Saccharomyces cerevisiae S288C: one gene and its partner. The protein of the gene in region 1 interacts with the protein of each later gene in a pairwise test. Each region holds a gene or a part of one and is shown on either strand. Other genes may lie near its edges.

Region 1 (11,998 bases):
CAACAACGTAGCTTACCAAGAATCAAAATCTTGGGTACCGGTGGTACTATTGCATCGAAAGCTATAGACTCCTCTCAAACTGCCGGCTATCATGTTGACCTGACCATCCAAGATCTATTGGATGCCATTCCAGATATATCCAAGGTCTGTGACATTGAATATGAGCAACTATGCAACGTGGATTCTAAAGACATAAACGAGGATATTCTTTATAAAATTTATAAGGGCGTCTCAGAATCGTTGCAGGCTTTTGACGGTATAGTTATTACCCATGGGACTGATACGCTATCTGAAACTGCATTCTTTATTGAAAGTACTATTGATGCTGGCGACGTTCCTATTGTTTTTGTTGGTTCGATGCGTCCTTCAACCAGCGTTTCTGCTGATGGCCCTATGAACCTTTACCAAGCAATTTGCATTGCTTCAAATCCAAAATCTAGAGGAAGAGGTGTTCTTGTTTCCTTGAATGACCAAATTTCCTCTGGTTACTACATTACTAAGACGAATGCAAATAGTTTGGATTCTTTTAATGTTAGACAAGGCTATTTAGGAAATTTTGTCAACAATGAAATTCACTACTATTATCCTCCTGTGAAACCGCAAGGTTGCCACAAATTCAAACTGAGAGTGGACGGTAAGCATTTTAAATTACCAGAGGTTTGCATTTTATATGCTCACCAAGCCTTTCCGCCAGCTATAGTCAACTTAGTGGCAGATAAGTATGATGGTATTGTTCTTGCTACCATGGGTGCTGGTTCATTGCCGGAGGAGGTCAATGAAACCTGCATGAAATTGAGTTTGCCGATCGTATATTCCAAGAGATCGATGGATGGTATGGTGCCTATTGCCAACGTACCAAAGAAAGGTTCAAAGGAGGATAATCTCATCGCATCTGGTTATCTAAGCCCTGAAAAGAGCAGAATCTTGTTACAATTATGTTTGGCAGGTAACTACACGTTGGAAGAAATTAAACATGTTTTCACTGGCGTCTATGGTGGGTGAAAATTTTGTAATTTTTTGCATTTGTGTCGATATATATATATATATACATAGACACAGAGATAGAGATATAATTATGCAAGTCCCTGTTAATGCTAGTCTGAGATGAGTACAGGAATTCTTCATTTAGATTGTCTCGGCTATGTCACTTTTCTATCGTTTCACCTGCACATGGCTTTGTCTTGAATACTGAAGCCGTTATTATAGTTCTATCTTCATGTTTTTAGAGGTTTTTTTTAAATGAGTTTATTAAAATTAAATTTTGAATGTTATTTTTGAATAAAAATATAAAAAAAATAATATTAATAATTTTTCATTAACTGCTCATGATATCAGTGCATTAGAAAATCTTTTGGTTCCACTTTTCCTATAAAAATAATTCAAGTTTTATCATTATATCATTTTTAAATATTTGATTATCATCGCCCGCTGGTCACCGCATTTTTAAAGAATAAATATTACTTTTTTCGAAATCTGGTGTTTAAATATTTTTAAGAAAGTTAAAAAATAAGGAATATTTGATAAACAAAAAAAAATTAGCCTTTATATATCCATTTTTGTTTATGTATTCCTTTTTTTATTTTCTTATGTGTTTGGGATTTACTGTCGCAGTCTTTTCAAATTTTCCGGGCTAAACCGGAAGCCGGAAGGTCTGGGATAAGACAACAGTATCCAATACAATATCAGACTACAGCAAAAAGCTTATTCAGAGATCTTTACAGAAATCAAGGTCACTGCCGAACTATGTTACGAAGATCTATTCATACCACTAAAATCCTCCAAAAACCTAATGCTACTTCGCATATTTGGTCGGACTTTACCACAAGGCCTAGTTCACTTTCTATCCAATCTTCAAAAGTGAAAAATTACCTTTTCCAGAAGAAAGCTTCTCTAGACCCACCATCTATCAGCAGAAGAAGTAACCGTATCAAATATTCACCTCCAGAACACATTGATGAGATTTTCAGGATGAGTTATGATTTTCTTGAGCAAAGATCCAGTAAGTTTTATGAGTTGGCCAATAAGACTAAAAATCCCTTGAAGAAGGATGCACTTCTCATAAAAGCAGAGATCAATAATCCTGAGGTACAATACAATTTTCAGTTTAATAACAAGTTGAACAATGTTAAGGATATAATAGATTATGATGTGCCAGTGTACAGACATTTGGGGAAACAACATTGGGAATCGTACGGCCAGATGTTATTGATGCAAAGGTTAGAAACGTTGGCTGCCATTCCTGATACTCTTCCAACTCTGGTTCCACGGGCAGAAGTGAATATCAAATTTCCCTTCTCTACTGGTGTAAATAAGTGGATCGAACCTGGTGAATTTCTATCGTCCAATGTCACATCCATGCGTCCCATTTTCAAAATTCAAGAATATGAACTTGTGAACGTTGAAAAACAATTGTATACGGTACTGATAGTCAATCCTGATGTTCCAGATTTGAGTAATGACTCATTTAAAACGGCTTTGTGTTACGGATTGGTGAATATTAATTTGACTTATAATGACAATTTAATAGATCCAAGAAAGTTCCACAGTTCTAATATTATCGCTGACTACTTACCTCCGGTACCTGAAAAGAATGCTGGAAAACAGAGATTCGTTGTTTGGGTATTCAGACAACCCTTAATCGAGGATAAGCAAGGTCCTAACATGTTAGAGATTGACCGAAAGGAACTAAGTAGAGATGATTTTGATATCAGGCAATTTACGAAGAAATACAATCTAACCGCTATTGGGGCACATATCTGGAGAAGCGAATGGGATGCCAAAGTCGCCGCCGTCAGAGAAAAATATGGCCTACCACCTGGAAGGGTTTTTAGCAGAGTTAGAAGGTGATCCTAAATAGTATGACATTATAGTATCCTGTACATATAAAATAACGTGTCATTGTTAATAAAGCTTGATGCAAATAATATAAAGTAAGAATCTGAAAAATTTTTGGAATGTGAATTTTGTTTACAATACGATACGTATGATATTAGTATGTTCTAGAATATATACATTTCATTTTTTTCCTTATTGTTTGTGCACTAACGAATGAAGAAAAAAATATGGAACATCTAGCGAACGAGAATCCATCATAACTTCGTCATTCAGTGCGAGCTAATGTGCATTTTTAGTATCCTATTTATGTTGAAGCTTCTATTTATGTTGAAGCTTCCTTCAGGGATTCAACGGCGTTAAGAATAACTCTTTCAAAATCTATATTAGGATCTTCCAAATTAAATGAGGCGTTCGCAGGCACATCTTTAGGAGTTACTACAGGGTGTAGCTTGGCGTATTCCTTCTTTGCCTCCTCTACCAGCTTCAATTTCTCCTCGTACTGTGCCTGCTCCTCTTTCTTCTTAGCATTACACTTCAAAATCATATCATTTCTAAAACCAAAAAATAGCCCCAAACCCAACGCAGAGTATCTCAAAACATTAACTGTCGACATCCTTTAACTCACTCAGCTAGTTCCTATATACGTTATGTTCCGATATAATACTTCCTTTTATCTAAAATTTCTGTGTGAAAAGTCAAAAAAACTAAAGAAAAATTTATACCCTTAAATAGATCTGATTGGCTCCGCGGACCAATTAGCGTGGAGATTCCGCGAATGATCGAATAATAAAGATATGTCTTAATTAAACCCATGGTCACCCAGCTTCGATTGAACGGTATGTATTCTTGAGTGCAATTCTTCTAAGTTCTTATTAAGTGTGACGATCTCCTCCAATCTACGCTGCTTCTTATAGTCCTGAATTGTGGACTCAATAAGGTAGCTTTGTTCCTTTAGGACCATCAATTCTTCTCTCAGCTCTTTCACTTCTTTTATGGTCAAGTTTTCGATCATTAGTTGCGATAATTTCTTTACCTCTGGTTCAGCTTTTTGCCCATCTTCATTCGTTTTATGGCCCTCTGGGTTCAAAATTGCCGGAAGCGACTTCAACGGTAGGATTTTTTCGTTTATGTATGCAGCGGAAGCTATCTTGATCGAATTTTGAAGTTGTCTCTCTAGATGACTTTGAGGTTCTACACTTAAGAGCTGTCTTGTTAGTGTATTATACAAGTTAAAAGAATTGAGTAATTTATGTCTTAATCGAGCGAGATCATTCAGATTCTTTGGATCAAGTGTATTTTCAGAATCCTTGGCAGTCTCCACCTTCAGGCTATTCAATGAGTCTTCAAAAATGGGCAGGAGACTATCAATTACTTTGGATATATTTTGCATGCTATCATATTTAGCAAATATTCCACTTAGCGGCATTCTAACGTCCTTGTTAAATTTCCTGCCAATAAATAGCATATCGATACAGTGCGAGCACAATCTTATGGATATAGGAATATGAAGTAAATCATCCTTCTGTATATTGTATTCGAATGGCAGATCTGACGCTGCAGACATTAAATAACCTATGCTTATTTCGTTTGAGCAGTTCCTGTTTGCATCATCACAAACAACCATACCACATAATCTGCAGTGATGCTTCCTTAGTAATAGCCCAAATGGTTCGGAACATATGTTACAAAAGAGTACACTTCTATCATCTCTCCATGGAGTAACTGTACGTTCTAACTTGGACATTTCACTATTCATCTTCAAATTATGAATAATGGATCTAGAATATGTGTTATAGAGTGTAATCAGACCATCAACTAGACGGACAAACCGATTTTCTAATTGTAATAGCCTTAAGTTTTTGTCCTCTCTTTTTATATTTCGTACCTTAAAGAATTCTGGTGTTAAATCTATTACTTCGCCATAATCGTTATAGCCAGGTTTTGTGACGAAACAATCATGGCAGCAATTGTACCATTTCCCGTTTCTGGGGTCATACTGTGCGGAAAGATTAAGTTTAATCATATTAGGAAGATGCCTTCTGCAATACAGTTTACCACATTTCCTACAATTAATGGCGCCAATATTGTTATTCAAAGTCCTTCCACATGTGTGACAGCAGCTCTTCCCTTTTTTGAATTTTTCCCAATGGCTTCTTTTCAACTTTTGCGCACTGCTATCAACAGATCTGGCCTTTTTTTGTTTACCATTGACTAAACGACTGTCATTGGAACCGAGTGAATCTTCATTATCGTTAAACCCATGCTCAACATCTAAATGTGCATTTAGTGCTTGTAAGTTATCAAACTTCCTTAGACAAATGGGACATGAAACATTTTCAAGATCCATAATAGATAAGTCGCCAGGAAATTCGGTGATATCCCTTTAAAAACCATGAGATCCGGCTTTGCTCTTTAGGTCGGTCAATTTAGCTACTGATCATATGTTTTCATTATTCTATTGTTTTCCCAAAGTATTACCCTGCCTGGAAATAACAGTGATAGCCAGAGTGATTCCATCGCCAGTACTTTTGTAATTCAGGAATACATTTATACCAATAAATGGCTCACATTTAATGTCTGCATACGTGATTACTACATATATATGTCTGCGTATGTGCTTGGCTATTTTACATTAGCGAGTTTCTATAAAGTACTAACGCCATTAGAGTTTTTTGTAACTGAAAAATGCCCTTAGAGTATGATAGCCTTTTAATAGCATCTCTCTATTCTTCGGTATGTTGACTTAAATTAATCAAAACACTAACTTTGGTTGAATAAACGCCTTTTGTTTGGAGTGAAAAGTTAATGGATTTCTTTCAATTATTGCCAATTCATTACTAGAAATTAAGTCAACAAACAGTAAAGGTTTATATTTATCAGTAAAGAAGAAGTGACCGGAGCTTTCTTCGTTTCTTTGTACATCTGTGGACTTTATTTTGTTTCCTTGGTTTAATAATACATTCAAGTTTTCGCTGATTTCCATATCAATATCGTCATCTTCGTCATCTTCCTCGTCGTTCATGAAATTACTTTCATCTGTGATAGTTAGCCCTTCGTGTGTACGTTTTTTCTGTTTTCTTCTCTTATTTATAGGGAAGTCAACATCAAAGTCTATTCTTGATATCCAAGTAGCCCCCCAAAACCATAATCTGCTACTATTTTCTATGTCTGAAAATATCCCTACACAGTTCTCTTTTAATGTCTTCCATTCTTTTGGTAAGTTATCCGTATTGTTTTTTGACCATTGAGTTAATACGCTTTCGCTATCTTCATTCTCGGCTTCCGAATTCAAATTCATATTGAATTCATAAATCTTATTGTCTGCAGTAATTACTACTACAGATTTTCTAGAAGTATTGATATGAACAGCGGTGATGAAATTATTCAAACGAGCAAGTGGTTTAGAAATCCTTGCTTTTAAGTCTAATATGTCTACGACTCCACAGCCACGAGAAATTACTGCAATGTTCTGGTCTACTTCCAAATGGTTGATCCTGTTAATATAGGGAACTTTGATACTGCTCTTAGTTGAAGTAACCTCCAAAAGTTCAACTTCTTGCGGTTTTTCATCTTCTTCAGATTCTAGATCCACAATAAATACATCATCTTCGCAAGAGCATATGACAATTTTGGAATTATCGATGAACTTGACTAATTTTGTGGAAGTTCTCAATAATAGGTCATTATCTAGTTTAGTCACTTTCAATTTATTACCTACGGGCTGTAAATGAAAAACTTTAGTGGTAGAGGGCCTCCCTACGACTAAAACTTGTCCATCAGGTGATAAAGAACAAGTTGAGATATTCTGGTCATCTTTTAAAGTTAACTTGCAAACTAGCTTATAATTCTGTTCTGTACTAGAATCGGTTCCCATTGTCCATATCTTAACAGTAGATTCGCTCCATGAAACAACAAGGCGTTGCTCTTTGTTAACTAAAACATTCTTTGAATAAGGTTCGACAGTTGGCATCTTCCTGTAGTTTCCATTAGAAAAAGAAGTAAGTGAGTTGATGACTAGTGTTTTTTCAACACCTCCTGAAACTAGAAAATCTGCACCTTTAGATTGGTATGCACATATTGCTCTAATGTCGTTTCCATGAAGCAACCTATTAGAAGAATTTACCCATCTGTTGTTCTTTTGAGATTTGTTAGTGTTTTGAGAAAATTGAAAGATTTTTCTGTCCACACCAGCACTAAAAACATAATTATTATCAGTATCGGTAGTTAGACACAGTACGTCTGCATCGTGCGCCTTAAATGACTGGTTTAGCGTGGCAAACTGGAAATCCCAGAATTTAATGGAGCCTGTAGAATCACCAGAGGCAATCTGATCAGTTCTTGGTAAATATATAACTGACCAAACTAGAGTTGATTCTTTTTTGGCCTTGTCGACCTTCATAGTGTGTAATAGACGACCCATGTTTTCGTCATTTTTTTGTGCAGACCAAATCCTTATTCTACCATCAGAACAACCACCAATCACGAAGTCATCCTTTTTCCAAGCCAAAGTCAATACTCTGGCTTCTTGTCTCATCAAAATAGTATCGTGTTCCAAGACACCAGGCCCGCCAGAGATATCTATGAGGACCACCGTCCCATTATCGCAACCCACAGACAGCTTGTCTTGTGAATCGTTGATGGAAATAGACCATATCACACCTGAATTGCAATCATAGTTTCTTAATGGTAAACCTGTTGCTAAATCCCATTCTGTTACCACAGTCGAGCCGCCAATAGAAAATAGCCTTAGAGACTCGCCGTTAACGTTGCTCCAGCAAAGGCCTTCAATTGATCTGTCTTTGCCACCTTCGATAACCATTTCCTGAAACCAATTGTTTCTAGGATTCCAGATTTCTATGTTACCATTAGATCTACCAATAGCTAATCTCAAATCGGACGGAGTTAACTTATTTATATTTGATTTATGTGAAAATGCTAGAGATGTGATTGTGGCAGGAGTGAAATCCACAAATCTGCATCTATGCACTATCATCCTTTCCTGACTGGTCATCTTCACCGGTTTGTTTCGTATTTTCAGGCTTCTTGACTTTTCTTTTAAAACTGAAAGTAGCGATGAGCTCATTCGTAGCTTTTTTCTTGTCAGTCTGAAAATTTTTCATTTGGTTTTTTGAAAAAAATCCTGCCTAATATGGTATCAAGAGGAATAACAAGAAAAAAAAATCATGGGGGATACAAAGGAAAACAAGGAGATAATGCAGGTTATACTGAATTGCTCATAGTATTAGCCTAAAGCACTTTACCTCTGATTTATTGCATCTATCGTATTCTTGAGTTATTGCGACTTTTAAAATCCGTGCACCGCATATGAAAGGGTAGAGCCTTCGTGTTTGTTTACCTTTTTAGCTCTTTGAAGATCAAACAAAAACACTTCAGTAATGCCTACAGCCTTGGATAAGACAAAGAAGTTAACAGGCCGCGCCCATCATGCAAGATCCTGATGGTATTGACATTAATACGAAAATCTTTAACTCAGTTGCTGAAGTATTTCAAAAGGCACAGGGTTCTTATGCAGGACACAGGAAGCATATAGCAGTTTTGAAGAAAATTCAGTCAAAGGCTGTTGAGCAAGGCTATGAAGATGCTTTTAACTTTTGGTTCGATAAATTAGTTACTAAGATCCTTCCTCTGAAAAAGAATGAGATTATCGGAGACAGGATAGTAAAGTTAGTAGCTGCATTTATAGCTTCTTTAGAAAGGGAGTTGATATTGGCCAAAAAACAAAACTATAAGCTCACGAATGATGAAGAAGGGATATTCTCAAGGTTCGTCGATCAGTTCATAAGACATGTTTTGCGTGGTGTGGAAAGCCCTGACAAGAACGTCAGATTTAGAGTTTTACAGTTATTAGCCGTTATAATGGATAATATAGGGGAAATCGATGAATCACTTTTCAATTTATTAATATTGTCTTTAAATAAGAGGATTTATGATAGAGAACCAACGGTTAGGATACAGGCTGTGTTTTGTTTAACTAAATTTCAGGATGAAGAGCAAACTGAACATTTAACTGAGCTTTCTGATAATGAAGAAAATTTTGAAGCTACGAGAACTCTAGTTGCTTCTATCCAGAACGATCCGTCAGCTGAAGTACGGAGGGCTGCAATGCTGAATTTGATCAATGATAATAATACTAGACCGTATATCTTGGAGAGGGCTAGAGATGTAAACATCGTTAATAGAAGGCTCGTGTATTCGAGAATTTTGAAATCAATGGGAAGAAAGTGTTTCGATGATATTGAGCCGCATATTTTTGATCAATTGATTGAGTGGGGTTTAGAAGATAGGGAATTATCAGTGAGAAATGCGTGTAAGAGACTCATTGCTCATGATTGGTTAAATGCTCTGGATGGCGATTTGATAGAATTACTAGAAAAATTGGATGTCTCAAGATCCTCAGTGTGTGTTAAGGCTATAGAAGCACTTTTTCAATCAAGGCCAGATATATTATCTAAAATCAAATTTCCTGAAAGTATTTGGAAAGACTTTACCGTAGAAATTGCCTTCCTCTTTCGGGCTATTTATTTGTACTGTTTGGATAATAATATAACAGAAATGCTGGAAGAAAACTTTCCAGAAGCCTCAAAATTATCCGAGCATTTAAACCATTATATTCTTCTCAGATATCATCACAACGACATTTCTAATGACTCTCAGTCGCATTTTGATTATAACACTTTAGAGTTTATTATTGAGCAACTATCGATTGCCGCCGAAAGGTATGATTATAGCGATGAGGTTGGAAGGAGATCGATGCTTACAGTGGTACGAAATATGCTGGCCTTAACTACACTCTCCGAACCTCTTATTAAAATTGGTATTCGTGTAATGAAAAGTCTGTCCATAAATGAAAAAGATTTTGTAACAATGGCAATAGAAATCATTAATGATATTAGAGACGACGATATTGAAAAACAAGAACAAGAAGAGAAAATAAAAAGCAAGAAGATTAATCGCAGAAATGAGACTTCCGTCGATGAAGAGGACGAAAACGGCACACATAATGACGAAGTTAACGAGGATGAAGAAGACGACAATATTTCATCCTTCCATTCTGCTGTAGAAAACTTAGTGCAGGGAAACGGCAACGTATCTGAGAGTGACATAATAAATAATCTCCCACCCGAAAAGGAAGCGTCCTCAGCAACAATTGTTCTCTGTCTTACAAGGTCATCATATATGCTAGAACTAGTTAACACACCGTTAACAGAAAACATTTTAATTGCGTCGTTGATGGACACTTTGATCACACCAGCGGTTAGAAATACCGCGCCAAATATTAGGGAGCTTGGTGTCAAGAACCTTGGTTTATGTTGTCTCTTGGATGTGAAGTTGGCTATTGATAACATGTACATCTTAGGTATGTGCGTTTCGAAAGGTAATGCATCATTAAAGTATATTGCGTTACAAGTCATTGTAGATATTTTTTCCGTACATGGGAACACTGTGGTAGACGGAGAAGGCAAAGTTGACTCAATCTCGTTGCACAAAATATTTTACAAGGTTTTAAAGAATAACGGTTTACCGGAATGTCAGGTGATAGCAGCGGAGGGTTTATGCAAACTATTTTTGGCAGACGTGTTCACTGATGATGATTTGTTTGAAACGTTGGTTTTGTCATATTTTTCGCCGATAAATTCCTCAAACGAAGCGCTGGTACAGGCATTTGCCTTCTGCATTCCAGTCTATTGTTTTTCACATCCTGCTCATCAACAACGTATGTCTAGGACGGCTGCGGACATACTCTTAAGACTATGTGTTCTTTGGGACGATTTACAGAGCTCTGTAATACCTGAGGTAGACCGTGAAGCTATGCTAAAGCCTAACATAATATTTCAACAGTTGCTATTTTGGACTGATCCACGTAACTTAGTTAACCAGACAGGTTCAACAAAAAAAGATACAGTGCAGCTTACATTCTTGATCGATGTGCTCAAAATATACGCTCAAATTGAGAAGAAAGAAATAAAGAAGATGATCATCACTAATATAAACGCTATATTTCTTTCTTCTGAACAAGATTATTCTACTTTGAAAGAACTTCTTGAGTATTCTGACGATATTGCAGAAAATGATAATTTAGACAATGTTAGCAAAAATGCTCTGGACAAGCTAAGGAATAATTTGAATTCGCTGATTGAAGAGATCAATGAAAGGTCAGAAACTCAGACAAAAGATGAGAACAACACTGCGAATGACCAATACTCGTCTATTTTGGGGAATTCATTCAATAAATCTTCAAATGACACCATAGAACACGCTGCTGATATAACTGATGGAAATAACACAGAATTGACTAAAACAACTGTTAATATTTCGGCAGTTGACAATACAACAGAGCAAAGTAACTCAAGGAAAAGAACGAGATCAGAAGCGGAGCAAATTGACACATCCAAAAACCTGGAAAACATGAGTATTCAAGACACGTCAACTGTAGCAAAAAATGTAAGTTTTGTTTTACCTGACGAGAAATCAGATGCAATGTCCATAGATGAAGAAGATAAGGATTCAGAGTCTTTCAGCGAGGTCTGTTAAAATTGATATGCGAGCTCTTCATCTATTTAAGTTGATTTTTTGGTTGTAAACATATTTGTATTTTATTCTTAGGTTTGTTAATTCTTCTACGCTTACCAGATATAGATGCTATATGTTATTGCATTACGCACATTACCCGGTGGGACAAATTATGGAAATATTCCAAGGCTATAAATTCTTTGGTGAAAGGAACTGAAATTATGTCCAGTAATGCACCAGAAATGGACATATAAAACTATTAATGCATTTTATTACAATTATCCTAAGAAAATATCCTATATATAATTAAAGTAAAAGAAATAAGATCAAAAGAACAAAATAAAGTCGAGTAGAATTTTCCTACTTGACTATATTAGAACGAAAAATGTTATTTTATCAAAGTAATTGGTTAGTAGCCGACGTGTTATCCGTTTGGGCCAATAATTCTTTCATTTCTTGCAGCTGCAATTCGGTGATTTTTATAGATTCAACTAGCTGCTGTATTTTATGATCACTAACTCCATTTACGAGCTTAACCTTCTTGTTATTACTCTCCTTAATATGATTGGACAAGACACTATTTTGAACGGTTCCATTTCCACGATCTATCAACCAGTCCCATATGAGACCC
Region 2 (3,600 bases), on another chromosome or scaffold:
GCACCGAATGAAGAAAATGAGAACCTAATTTCGCTTGGCAATAGTAAAATGTTTTATCTGCATCGAAAAAGTTATATAGATTTATGCCTCATATATAAAATAGAATTTTAGAATAAGATAATCCTTATTTATTTTGCAGATCTAATAGAATCCATATATTCTTTAGTTGAAAGTATAGAGGTGCCTCCTAAAACCACCCTCATTCTGTTATTCATCGTTCCATTGAAATCATGGACTAGCCTTGCCTCCTCATAAGTTACACCGCCAATAACAAACAATATTACATCCTGAGGAATATCTTTGCTCTGCTGGTTTCCGATCACTCTATGGCCTTGAGTATCTATTTCTTTGAAACGATCCCTGAATAACGCATTTTTAGAGAGATCTGTTAGTAATGACGAAATTTCCGGAATATGTTGCATATAGACGTTTTCAGCGGTGTTGCTCTTAGAATTCATTCTACTATTAAATCTTCTTGCTAGTTCGGTTAATATATCGTCCTTGTCATGGTTACTTTGAGTCATTTTATCCTGGCGGCTAAAAAGCGATTTAAATTTATGGAAAAAGTTGACGTCCTCTGGAGGAAGTTGTTGAGACAGAATCTCAACTAGTTGACGGATTTTGTCTGAGCTGGTTTGATTGTTTAAAGAATAAATACATGCAAGCTTTAACTTGTAATACTTATCAACTGCTTCATTTTGTAGCAATTTAATCAAATCGGAGAAATCTTCTTCATTGGCATCGTGTGCTGATAGATTTTGTTCTATTTCACTAATTTCCCATATATTTTTTATCTTCAACTGTCTGTCTAATTCCCCCACTATAGCCATATGCTTTGCAACATTTCCAGATAATTTTCTAAACTCTGGATACTTCTCAATAAAGTTTTTAATATCCTCAATGGAATTTATTTGGCTGTTGGTTTGTGTCTTGTCTTTGTATGTAGTCACATATTGTTTTACTTTATCACCCAATTCACCAAAATTCAAATACATGGTATCCCTGAAGAAAGCATCTTGCTTTGATGATAAGGTGACCTTCTCCAGGTCTTTATCAATTCTAGGCACTTTCGATAAATCAACTATATTCCGCTTAATGCCTATATACTCATTGATCATTGATTGGTAGGTCCAAGGTTGAAGTAAAGGTGTTATAGGATCAGTATTACGATCTAAAATTAGTAACACAGGTGTCGAATCCATCACAGGAAAATCAAAAAAAGTTCTTTCGTTTTTACCAATCTCATAGGAAACTTCTTTAGCCAATCTTTCACAAATTTTACTTGCTCCTTCATACCTGATATCTGGTTTTATCTTTAAGGATAAAAGCACAGAAACTAAGCTGTTGGTACATTTTGTTAGCCCCCCTTCGCTCCAAACCAATTTATTACTTAAAAATTCTCTTGGTTGCAAATCAAACGAAAATAAATCTTGGTTTAATATAAAAAAGTCTTGGAATATTTCTTCCACCTTAGTAACAGCTTCCAAGTCGTCAGATTCAGCTAGCCGTTCTAATTGAGATTTAGAGACAATATTACTAAAGAATATTTGATACTCGCCGTACCGAGGATTTCTTAACTCACGCAGCAGATGTTGCAGTGTTTCCTCTGTGGGTTTAACGTAAACTAAGCACCTTAAATGCCTGGACACTTCACGTTGCTCATTTTCTATTCTTTCTACCAGATATATTTCATGCTTCAACAACTCACTTTGAGTGGCACATAAGGATATCGTAGGTGTGGTATTCTTATCCAACAGCAAAACCTTAATCCTTTGGTGTTCATTGACATTGGCTACGCTCAATTTCGATTGGGAAGTCACAATTTTGTTTATATAAAAGTCAGCCACATCAAAAAGGTTCATTTCTTTGTTCTATACAGTAAAAGATGGCCTTAACTCAAAACCAAGTCACTGTACCTCTTCACTCCTTAATGTTACTCTGGGTACATTGCATATGAGCCAAGGCACTTCTATAAGTAAGTTCGAACGTTAACTAACTGTAATGACGTTACCCTTTCCTGAAATTGGCAGAAACAAAAATGAACATTTCTGGCAACTTTTCGCCATACAGTCAGTACTCGTTACGGACGCCCGGGAAACAAGTAGGAAACATATGAGAGGCCAAACAAGGGTAAGACCTTCTTTTCTGGTAATAGATATTACTTCATCGCACAAAGAAGTCTAATTCTGGCGTGTGATGACAAAAAGGTTTAACAAGACCTGTTTCAAAATGTTTGCATATGTTGATTACAGTATATATAATAGTACACAAACACCGGTAACATTTTATAATTTTTTTGAATTTTTTGTATACTTTTCCAACCAGTGGTGCGCTGGTGGCTCTTGAGATTACGTGAAAGGCACTGCACCATATTATCCCTTTGAAGTTTCTGGAACTTTGAAATTATGGGCTCTTCCTTCTTCGTACACGCTGTTCAGTACTTTCTCAAAGATAGCTTTTTCTTTCAGGTGGAGATATTTTTTGTAAAGAATCAAGGCAGTATGGGCATCTTCAATTGAATCGTGATTTCCCTCTTGGATATTCATTCCTAACAACACATATGCCAGATAACGCAATGAAAGATATCTCTTTCCTTGTAGAAAATATATGGCAGTGTCGCGAATTTGGTTTCTTGGGACATTAATATTAATGTGTTTGAAGTCATTATTCAAACCATGACCAACAAATACGCATCCGAGCTGCATTAAAAGCCAGACTTTTCGATATACAACGTTTCTTCTCACAAGCCTTTTGGTACTCTTTTCAGGGTCCAAGTCACCAGGAAGAATCCCACTATATCTTGTCAAATAGTCTTCTATGTGGTTCGTGTTTACCACATAATCATCGACAAATGGTACTCCATACAGTTCTCCTTCTTCGCCTCTAATAATGGATATTCTGGCCAAAGCAGTTCTTTTAGGTCGAATAATACTTCTGATTCCTTGATGATCGATTTCACATAGTTCACTTTGTAATGAGACAAATTCGGCATCAATGGCAACCAAGGTTCCAGATTTAGGTGCCTCATCATGTGTTAATAACTTATATTCACGTCTTGCAGTATCTCTTATTCCGTTTGCGAAATAATCACGGAAAAGTATGTCATAGTTGATGGAATACGTATCAACAGAAAAGAAAGGTTTTCGTAATTCTTCCGCATCACAATATATGATAATTTCTGGTGTTTTCCAAGGGTATGTCATTTTAAGCGCCTCTTCCTCTGTTATCTCAACAACCAAATAATCATTAAACATGAGCCACTTGAAGCAATTCTCTTTTGGATTATATTTTTTGACATATGTTACTAGACGCGTCTCGTTATTGTTATCAGTGATTTTAGCCACGTAACCATTCAATTCGTATTTAAATATGTGGCTTGTGCCCTTCAATTCGGACGCCGTCGATCTTAGAACTGCCTTGTTTTTAATGATGCTTCCATAAAATTCACTAGTTAACCAGTTTTTCGACGACCTTATATTGGAAAATTCGGTATCTAATAGTGATAATTCTAATGACAACACTGAAGGTAAATTCTTGACAGTACACTCCTGGGTGATAGTTTCGGTTTTGCCGCAGGTTGGGCAAATACTGTTCTTTTGG

What was found.
Region 2: the proteins of PEP7 (region 1) and VPS45 interact in binary tests that used the Saccharomyces cerevisiae proteins (3 or more experiments, as listed by UniProt).

Annotation. Positions count from the first base shown.
Region 1 is NC_001136.10:1,108,846-1,120,843, forward strand, and holds PEP7 (phosphatidylinositol-3-phosphate binding protein), read right to left. Parts: upstream 5,183-11,998; coding exon 3,635-5,182; downstream 1-3,634. Other genes in the region: asparaginase ASP1, read left to right, coding at 1-1,002; mitochondrial 54S ribosomal protein mL38 MRPL35, read left to right, coding at 1,744-2,847; TIM11 (F1F0 ATP synthase subunit e), read right to left, coding at 3,158-3,448; small subunit rRNA maturation protein UTP4, read right to left, coding at 5,588-7,918; condensin subunit YCG1, read left to right, coding at 8,281-11,388; YSP2 (Ysp2p), read right to left, coding at 11,764-11,998. UniProt on the Saccharomyces cerevisiae protein: Required for vacuole segregation and vacuole protein sorting. Possibly part of a complex which tethers the vacuole membrane to microtubules, either directly or via kinesin or dynein-like motor proteins.
Region 2 is NC_001139.9:328,746-332,345, forward strand, and holds VPS45 (Vps45p), read right to left. Parts: upstream 1,863-3,600; coding exon 129-1,862; downstream 1-128. Other genes in the region: PAN2 (poly(A)-specific ribonuclease), read right to left, coding at 2,373-3,600. UniProt on the Saccharomyces cerevisiae protein: Essential for vacuolar protein sorting. Function in membrane traffic between the Golgi and the vacuole.